3 linked regions of the Tribolium castaneum genome follow. The protein of the gene in region 1 binds, or shares a complex with, the protein of each later gene. Links are inferred from orthologs where the notes say so. Each region holds a gene or a part of one and is shown in the gene's direction. Other genes may lie near its edges. The genes, in order: Sec20, Syx18 and Vamp7.

Region 1 (2,912 bases):
CCCGCGCTTGTAATTCTCCGCCGATTTAAATTCAAAGGTGTTGGTGCTTAAGGTTTGGGATTAATTTTGTTAAACGACGTTTGTAGTGTTGATAATCGTTTTTAGTTTGTGTTATAGTAAATATTTATTGTTGGTGGTGGATTTGTTTTTGGTTATTTGAAGACCATCACAAGGGGAGCATTATCAAGAATTTTTACAGTTTTTTCGCAGGTAATTGCGAATATTCCTAGTTGGTTGTTAATATGGGCTTAATCCTAAACATTGTGACTTCTCCAAGCGAGAAATAAAACATTTTAATGCAAAAACGCAAATTTGGTCAAGTACTATTTTTTTCGCGGAGTGTTAGTAACTAGTTTTGCACACAGTCGAATGATTTTGACTATGGAATAATCAGTTATCAAATGATTTGAACAGCGATTTGAACTATCGAATGAATCATTCATTTATTTTATTCAATGGCATTGCCTCATTTAAGGAAATAAATGGTGGTCTAGTAGTAAATGACCAATCGTTACAATTTGTTTTTAATTTTTGTTTTTTTACCATTTGCGAGGGGTAAACATCTGATCTAAATCTTGTACACCATACATTCCTTATACATCCTTTTACAGTCCTGGAAATCCTTGAAGTTGTACAGCTATCCCTCGAAACACTTTTTTTGTATTCACCTAAATGATCCGCAAAAGTTGCCTTAGCGAGCGAGAAAGACTCAATTTAGGAACTCAAATATCATTCCACAACTTCTTGGGTTTAAGTTCGAAAAGCCCTAATTTTAGGCTCATATGAGTCTCTAAATTTGTCCATTATTGATTTAAGTACTATTTTACGAGTACAGTAAAACTTCTCAACAACGGACACTGATGGGGAACCTTTAATTGTCTATTGTGGAGAGGTGGAAATTTTAATATATTGTTAACTTCTTACAAAAATGTCTGTTGTGAAGAGGTGTCCGTTTTTCGGAGGTGTCCATTAAGGGAGGTTCCACTGTATTTCAATAACTGTTGATATTGAATAAAGATATTTTCAAGCAAAAACCGATCGATTAGGATCTCGAAGGGAAATTCAAAACCAATATTAGTTACATTTTAGGTTTCATCCCCTGATCGCTAGCCACCCCTACTTTAAAATTTAAAAGGAGGGAAAGGCTTAAAGAAACAAAATATTGTTTTTTTTGTTTTGTGTTAAAAGTGATATTTTATTTTTTAAATTTTCAGTCTTTACTCAAAATTCAAAACCAACAAAAAATAATCGCTAACCACGCTCTTTACCAAATTATTTTTTTAAATAAGGTAAAAATAAATGTAAGATACGTATTAATGGTTAGATCTCATTGAAAATATAAATTACATTATCTATCAATTTTTTGAAGTGTATAAATAATTTATAACAACTAATTTTGAGAAAAATGTGACGTTGGCGTTTACATACTTTTCAAAGAGCTAATACTTTAAACTAACGTTTAAATTTTGAATTGGCGCCATTGCTTGGTTCAAAAACGGAAAACCCTGCTCATGAGTAGGTTACTAGATTTACATTCCATTAGCTTAGTCGGGTGCTAACGAGCTTAAAACGATGGATTCATCCGATTACGTGCTAGAAACGTTGAGAAAAGACATAACTGAGCACAATTTACAAATTAGAGCGATAATTCAGGTGCGTATTACCCACAAATAAACCCTGATTTTTGACACGTCCGTGTTGTGGTAGGACATCAACGCATGCGTCGGCCCATTGGCTGAATTGCAAGGTTTGAATAGCGCGGGACGTTCAAAAATTTCCGCCTTGCGGAAATTCATCGACAAATTCGGGGATATAGCCAAAGAGCGCAAAAACCCCACGTTTTTGAAAGACGTAGTTTCGTATCGTGAACAATTAGCGAGGTGATTTGGTGTATTGTGTCGCATTTGTGTGAAGAGATTAATTTTGTAGCACAATGGAGGCGTTCAAAAAGGCCAATATTAGTGCGATGTTGGCCATAGAAAAGGGGGCTCAGGAGGAGTTGTTGAAACCGAAAACTGAGGAAACGGCGCTGCGTCAAAGGCAAAAACGCGATAAGGAAAATTTGGTCAAAATGAGCTCAAATGTAACCGAACAGTTGTTATCAATCAGTCGGCAATTAGCTGATACGACGAAAAGGAGTGCGGATACGCTGGACGCGCTAGTTACTTCCTCCGATAGTGTAATCGGGTCACAGGAAGAACTCAAAATAACCTCAAGTACAATTAGCCAGTCGGGGAAATTGCTGGCGAAGTATGGGCGAAGGGAATTCACCGATAAAATCCTCATGTTCTTTGCGTTTGTCTTCTTTGTGGCGTGTGTTTTTTATATCGTGCAAAAACGATTATTTTAAATAAACTTCAACTACTTTCGTTATAATGAGTTATTTTACGAGTATTGTTTTTATAGACTGAAGGACCTTGGTCCAAGGCATCTGGGAAGCCCCCAGATTACGCTAAATAAATTATTTATTGTATTGTTGTAACCACATTATTATTAAAATACGTTTCGTTATTATTGAGACATTTATAATAATAATAATATTGGGTTTTTAAAAGAACTGATTTTTCCCTCAGTTCGTACTAGCTTTTAATCACAAAGACAAAAAATCACCTACTTTAATTATAAATTCAATTGATCGCATGGTATTTAAATCTCTTAACAAAACTCAATTGATATGATTGTTTAAAACCGACGTATTTTATATATTTTTATGTATTTTCGGTTAAACAAGAATGGGGAATATAATCATAAGCTTCTTTATAATTTATGAAAGTACAGATTTTTCTATTATGATTTCTTGCTTGTTCTATAATACGCTGTTCTTTACATTCAACTGATCTTTTAATACAACGGTTTTGGTCTTCATTAATTATTCTTAAAGCATTGATCAAATTACCTTTTAAACTATCCAA
Region 2 (2,712 bases), on another chromosome or scaffold:
GTGCTTTTTCTCATCACAGTGAGTGCTGTTTATGTGAGTCGAGAGGTTGCTCCGAGTCGAGTAAGTTTTACCACATTGGCTGCAAATATACGGCCTCTCACCTACAACAAACAAAAAATTATAATAAAAAATAATGACCTTTTTTTGAGAAAATACCGGAATGGACCCTTGCGTGCACATTCAAGTTGTATTTCTTGGCAAAGGCTTTAGTGCAAACTTTGCATTTGAAGGGCTTATCATCGGGGGGCGCATGTGTCAGCATGTGGTGCTCCAACCCGGACGAGCAATTGAACGTCTTGCCACACACTGTGCACAAATACTGTTTTTCCTTACGTTTGTCCTCACCACTGTCCAAAAGGGGGCTATCTATGAACGAGAGGGACTGCTCTTCCCTCGCAGCACTAAAAACTTAACACCCCCAGTGTTAAAACACCAAACAGCCACTAAACCTACCTTCAAACGAGCAAAACTCGCACAAGTCTGCGCCCCCGCCCAGCACAAATTTCGCACACCTGGCGAGCCCCAAATCGGCGTTCAGACAAAACCGCACATCATGGAGCGAATAAATGAGACTTGTTAGATCGGAAATTGTCTCAATTTTGGACGCTGAGCTCGGGAGTTGCACAATTTCGTCACGAAACGACACGGAAGTCTTTAAAGTGCCGCTATCGCAAGTCAGGAGCACCCCCTTATCAATGACCACTTTATCACAGTGGGGCTTGACGTGCAACACGGCCAGGAACTGCTCCTTGGGGTCAATGTGCACGGCCCAGAGGGGCGTCGGGAGGGTCATTAAGTGCAAGTTTTTCACGAAATCACCAATTACCGACGCACACATTTTCCAGAATAACGCTTGACTGGAAGTTTGGTTATGTTCAACAATTGTAAACAAAAACGAATCGCGGTGGCTGACAGGGCGACTTGACCAGTCACAAAAATGTTAAAAAACGGTATTTTATGAGTTTGTGAAAGTTGTGCCCCCTTTTCTAAATTAATTAAGCCGTTCTACGGCCGTAACGTGTGATTTGTCGGTGCGTTCGATTGATTTGATAAATTTTTTGACGTTGTGGCTTTTAGGTTAGGTACACGTCACTTGTTCGGGGCAAAAATGGACATAACAATACTTTTCAAGGCTTGTGTTAAGACTGTGAGGACGACTAACAAGGCCTTAGGCCTGCAAGAGTCCAAACCGGCGCTCCCGAAGTCGGGTCCGAAGGACCCCAATTTGGCGACTGCTAAAGAAGTGGTGAAGCAAATAACGCACTTCCAAACCTTCCTCTTAGAGAATAAAGCAGCGTACTTGAACGTACTAAACTATTTATCCACCAATAAAACCATGACGGAGGTTGACCGAGAGCAAATAGACACAACAGCTGAGAAAATCGTAACCACATGTACTTCCCTCATTAGCGACTATAAAAAAGAAATTTGCAAGCTGCCCAAAAGCAAGCAAAAGGAGGAACACTACCACAACGTGATCGACTCACTCGAGCGCTACTTAAAGACAGTTAGCAAAATATACACCGAGGCGAAGGCAATTCGCGTGAAACGTGTCTTGGAGACGCACAAAGTGGCCAAATTGGAGACAATTGGCAGTAAAGGGAGTTTGGAACCCCCGATTGTACCCCCAGTATCGCCCCCTCCCGTCGATATCGAAGACCAGCTATCAGTTGAAGAAATGCAAATGTTTGAGTCGGAAAACGAAATGCTCTACAATGAGCTCAACTCAACGTCCGAGGAAGTCAAACAAATGGAAAGCAAAGTCGTGCACATTGCCGAACTTCAGGAATTATTCACGGAGAAGGTCTTGCAACAGGAACAGGATATAGAAAGGATTGCAAACAACGTCGTGGGGGCTACGAGTAACATGCGGGACGCTAATGAGCAAATCAGACAAGCGATTCAAAGGAATGCAGGCTTGAGGGTCTGGGTGCTGTTTTTTCTGCTAGTTATGTCGTTTTCGCTGCTGTTTCTCGACTGGTATAACGATTAACAAACCTAGAAAAAATAAATTATTTATAAGAAAAAACATATTTTTGTATAACTCGGCAATAAAGAATAAATCGACCAAAAAGGTTCTTACATTAAAAAAAATACATAAAACATTGCTGAAACCCAAGCTTAATAATTTGTTTGTTTGCAAACTGTGGCTGATAGAAAAGGAATTATAAAATTCGGGACATTCTATTTGAAAAATTTTTGAGTTTAACATTTTTCCAATTTCGAACTCATTGAAGCAAAGGTTTGTTTTCTTTGTAAAATGCCCAAAAAACGATTTCAAAATCTTTAAAAATGGCACAGCTACTGATTTTTGAAGTGAAAGGTATGAAACCAAAAATTTTCGAAACCCAAATAACGGGAAAGCTGATGTAAACTCCCTGATATAACACGAGTAACCCATTTTTCATTAAAAACATGAATAAATATTACCACAACTTCCAATACTTCTCATATGGGGATTGGACAAAACAGTCTATAGTTTTTTTGTTAACTAGGATATAAAAGAAAAGGACTGTAGGATTGAGGGTCTGGTCTTGTTAATTACTTTTGTGTACTGGTATTCCAATTAATGAAACCTACAGAAAAAATAAATTTATTTTTATAATAAAAAACAAAAGCATATATATTTTTGTATAACTCGGTAATAAAGAAAATTTCTCTTAATTAACATTAAACATACTTTTGACTAGTAGAAGCATAACATCCACACTT
Region 3 (2,748 bases), on another chromosome or scaffold:
TTCTGTTTATTTTGTACGCTTGGTTTTGCAATTTTCTCAGCTAGTTGTTTCTTCATTCTTCTGATGTCGTTGTTCTTGTGCGACATGTCCAAAGCAGCTTCGATTCCCTCAGGTTTCGGCACTTTTAAGTTAATTTCAGCGCTGGTTTTGCTTTCGCCGTGCCTGAATCTACAACGCGTGATCTCTTCTTCGATTATTTTATTGATGAGGCTTGTGAATTGTTGCGAAGTGGCTGCGTTTGACAAAATATCAGTGCATGCGACAAGTTTCCTCTTGATTTTGTCCAGTTTTTCGCTGTTTGAGTTGATGAGGGCATCCTTCTCGAGGATGTTCACCAGTTTGATGATATTCTTGAAGAGAAACTCTTGCGATTTGAGGATTGCGTGCAAGTTGTCAATGATGTGTTCCTGACTTTTCACTTTAAACTCGTTAATTTTGGTGTGTTCACGGCGCAACCATTCAGGGACTGTGTTCAAATTTTGGTTTTTCGGCAACTCTTCCAATTTTTTATCAACGGTTTGCGGCACCAAAGCAACAGTATGTGTATGTTTCTCATTTTCTTGCTTTACCCGGTTTATGTGTTCGTACAAGTAGCGGAGATCGTTCGTCACAACGTCTCCCTCACAGGTGTATTTGCTCGAGTTGTTGATAAACTCCAACATGTTTTCAAACGGGATTATTTGGGTCGCGTTGCTGTATTCGGTCGAAATTTTTCGCTTGAAGTGCATACATTTTTTGATATATTCGTGGAGTGTCTCGGCCGCTGCTGTGGTTAAAACCTTCCCACGCAGTAACAATAAATTTAACAGGAATTCCATAATTTGCGCCATGAAATTGAAATGATTGGAATTATTTGCTCGGCCACATTTTTTGAATTCTTTGACAACGCGCCACTCGATTTTCAAAAACCACAACATCTAACAACGCTTGTAACACGTTTTATTTGATTCAAATAAATCTCACTCAAACTAAACCAAGGTGTTACTTTCGGTATCGTGGCCGAATTTTACTATGAAATTATTTTTTTGGAGAAATTTTGAAAATGCACGGACGCCACTGGTGTGGTATTTAGAACATCGACTGAGTCATCGCTGACGCATGCGCACTTTGAAACCAAACGTCAGTGTGACACATGACGTTTTTGTTATTGTTCTCAATTTTTTATAATAATACCAATTAATTCAAAGATATTTGTGTTCGTTGTGCGCGTTTTTATCATTGTTACGTGTGTGGCATTTTTGGCGTTTATGTGAAGGTGTCAACGTAAATCGGAAAAAATAAAACGTAATTACGTCCCAACTGTTTAGGATCAATTAACATTGTTTATTCATTATAGATGCCAATTCTTTATAGTGTAATATCTCGGGGAAGCACCGTTCTAGTTCGATATGCCTCTTGCGCCGGGAATTTCGCTGAAGTTACTGAACAGATCATCGGAAAAATACCACCACATGATGATAAGTTGACGTACTCGCACGGGAACTATTTGTTCCACTATGTTTGTGAAAACCAAGTTATTTACATGTGTATTACTGACGATGTAACGTGGAATGTCGCGTAAATACTTGGTTGTATTGTCATCATTGTTTCAGGAGTTTGAGAGGTCACGGGCGTTTTTATTTCTCAATGAAATTAAAAGGCGTTTCAGGTCCCAATATGGGGACTCTATCCAGACTGCGATTGCATATGCGATGAATTCTGAATTTTCCAGGGTTCTAGCCAACGAAATGAAACATTATTCCGAATCCCATGATGTGGATACAATTTCAAGAGTTCATGGAGAGTTGGATGAACTTAAAAATATTATGGTCAAGAATATAGGTGAGTGTGAATAAATATTTTGTATGTGATATTTATTACTGCGTTCATTGATAAGATAATGTGGCGATGAGGGGAGAAAGGCTGGAACTGTTAGTAAATAAAGCTGAAAATTTGAATAGTGGGGTGAGTATTTAATAAAAAGTTGTTTTTTTTTCTGAAACTTTTTTTCAGTCTGTGACGTTCAGGAAGACAAGTCGCAATCTGGCACGTTCCATGTTTTGGAAAAACGTTAAGCTTTATGTTATCATTGGTGTGATTATTACTGTGATTGTTTATTTTATTGTTTGCATGGCTTGCGGAGGGCTTCTCTGGCAGGGCTGTATTGCTAAGAAATAAAAATTTTAAGATATTTTACTTTATTCATTACTTAAACACTGTACCGTTTTATCTTTATGTAAATAAGATTCCGCAAAATTAGTGATAAAAACATTCTTTTATAATTATGTAGTTTATCTTCGTTAATTTATAATTTTGTAATTGTTAAGGTATCGTTACTTGAATAAAGCAGACAAAATATACTCTTGTTTTATTTTCCCTCTAGTCTTTTATCTAATCACGTATTAAAAAGTCTCAAAAAATTCAAGAATTAAACACAAAAAAATCAAGAATAATTGTTTTAGTTGGTAACAAATTTAAAGAATTTTCTTATTCAGCAACTGGATACGGAGAAGCTATCATTAGTCGAACCACTTAAAAAAAAGATTTAGATTTGCCAACTCGAGCATTCTTTTTGTAGATATGTCTCATATTAGGTCTTACTAAAAAAAAAATTTAGAGATTCTGCAAAAAAAGAAAAGGATTCTGTGTTAAAGAAAATCCCAACGACAAATTTAAAGCCAAAAAAAACAATAATTCAAAGAGAAAATTATTTTTTAAAACTGACAGCTGTTGCTAATAAGATCTGAAACGGACCATACTCGTAAATTG

What was found.
Region 2: Sec20 (region 1) and Syx18 share a complex: the UniProt entries of both Homo sapiens proteins name them as parts of the SNARE complex. The link is inferred for Tribolium castaneum from reciprocal best matches to the Homo sapiens genes BNIP1 and STX18.
Region 3: Sec20 (region 1) and Vamp7 share a complex: the UniProt entries of both Homo sapiens proteins name them as parts of the SNARE complex. The link is inferred for Tribolium castaneum from reciprocal best matches to the Homo sapiens genes BNIP1 and VAMP7.

What each region holds. Positions count from the first base shown.
Region 1 is NC_087395.1:17,502,782-17,505,693, reverse strand, and holds Sec20 (vesicle transport protein SEC20), read left to right. Parts: upstream 1-1,471; 5' UTR 1,472-1,572; coding exon 1,573-1,653; intron 1,654-1,707; coding exon 1,708-1,880; intron 1,881-1,929; coding exon 1,930-2,350; 3' UTR 2,351-2,376; downstream 2,377-2,912. UniProt on the Homo sapiens protein: As part of a SNARE complex may be involved in endoplasmic reticulum membranes fusion and be required for the maintenance of endoplasmic reticulum organization. Also plays a role in apoptosis.
Region 2 is NC_087400.1:1,051,547-1,054,258, forward strand, and holds Syx18 (syntaxin-18), read left to right. Parts: upstream 1-889; 5' UTR 890-1,027; exon of another isoform or gene 1,028-1,031; intron 1,032-1,077; 5' UTR 1,078-1,108; coding exon 1,109-1,993; 3' UTR 1,994-2,074; downstream 2,075-2,712. Other genes in the region: zinc finger protein 239, read right to left, coding at 1-101, 157-408, 454-838. UniProt on the Homo sapiens protein: Syntaxin that may be involved in targeting and fusion of Golgi-derived retrograde transport vesicles with the ER.
Region 3 is NC_087402.1:8,581,651-8,584,398, forward strand, and holds Vamp7 (vesicle-associated membrane protein 7), read left to right. Parts: upstream 1-1,092; 5' UTR 1,093-1,284; intron 1,285-1,336; coding exon 1,337-1,540; intron 1,541-1,592; coding exon 1,593-1,821; intron 1,822-1,876; coding exon 1,877-1,944; intron 1,945-1,992; coding exon 1,993-2,157; 3' UTR 2,158-2,170; downstream 2,171-2,748. Other genes in the region: uncharacterized protein LOC103312779, read right to left, coding at 1-818. UniProt on the Homo sapiens protein: Involved in the targeting and/or fusion of transport vesicles to their target membrane during transport of proteins from the early endosome to the lysosome. Required for heterotypic fusion of late endosomes with lysosomes and homotypic lysosomal fusion.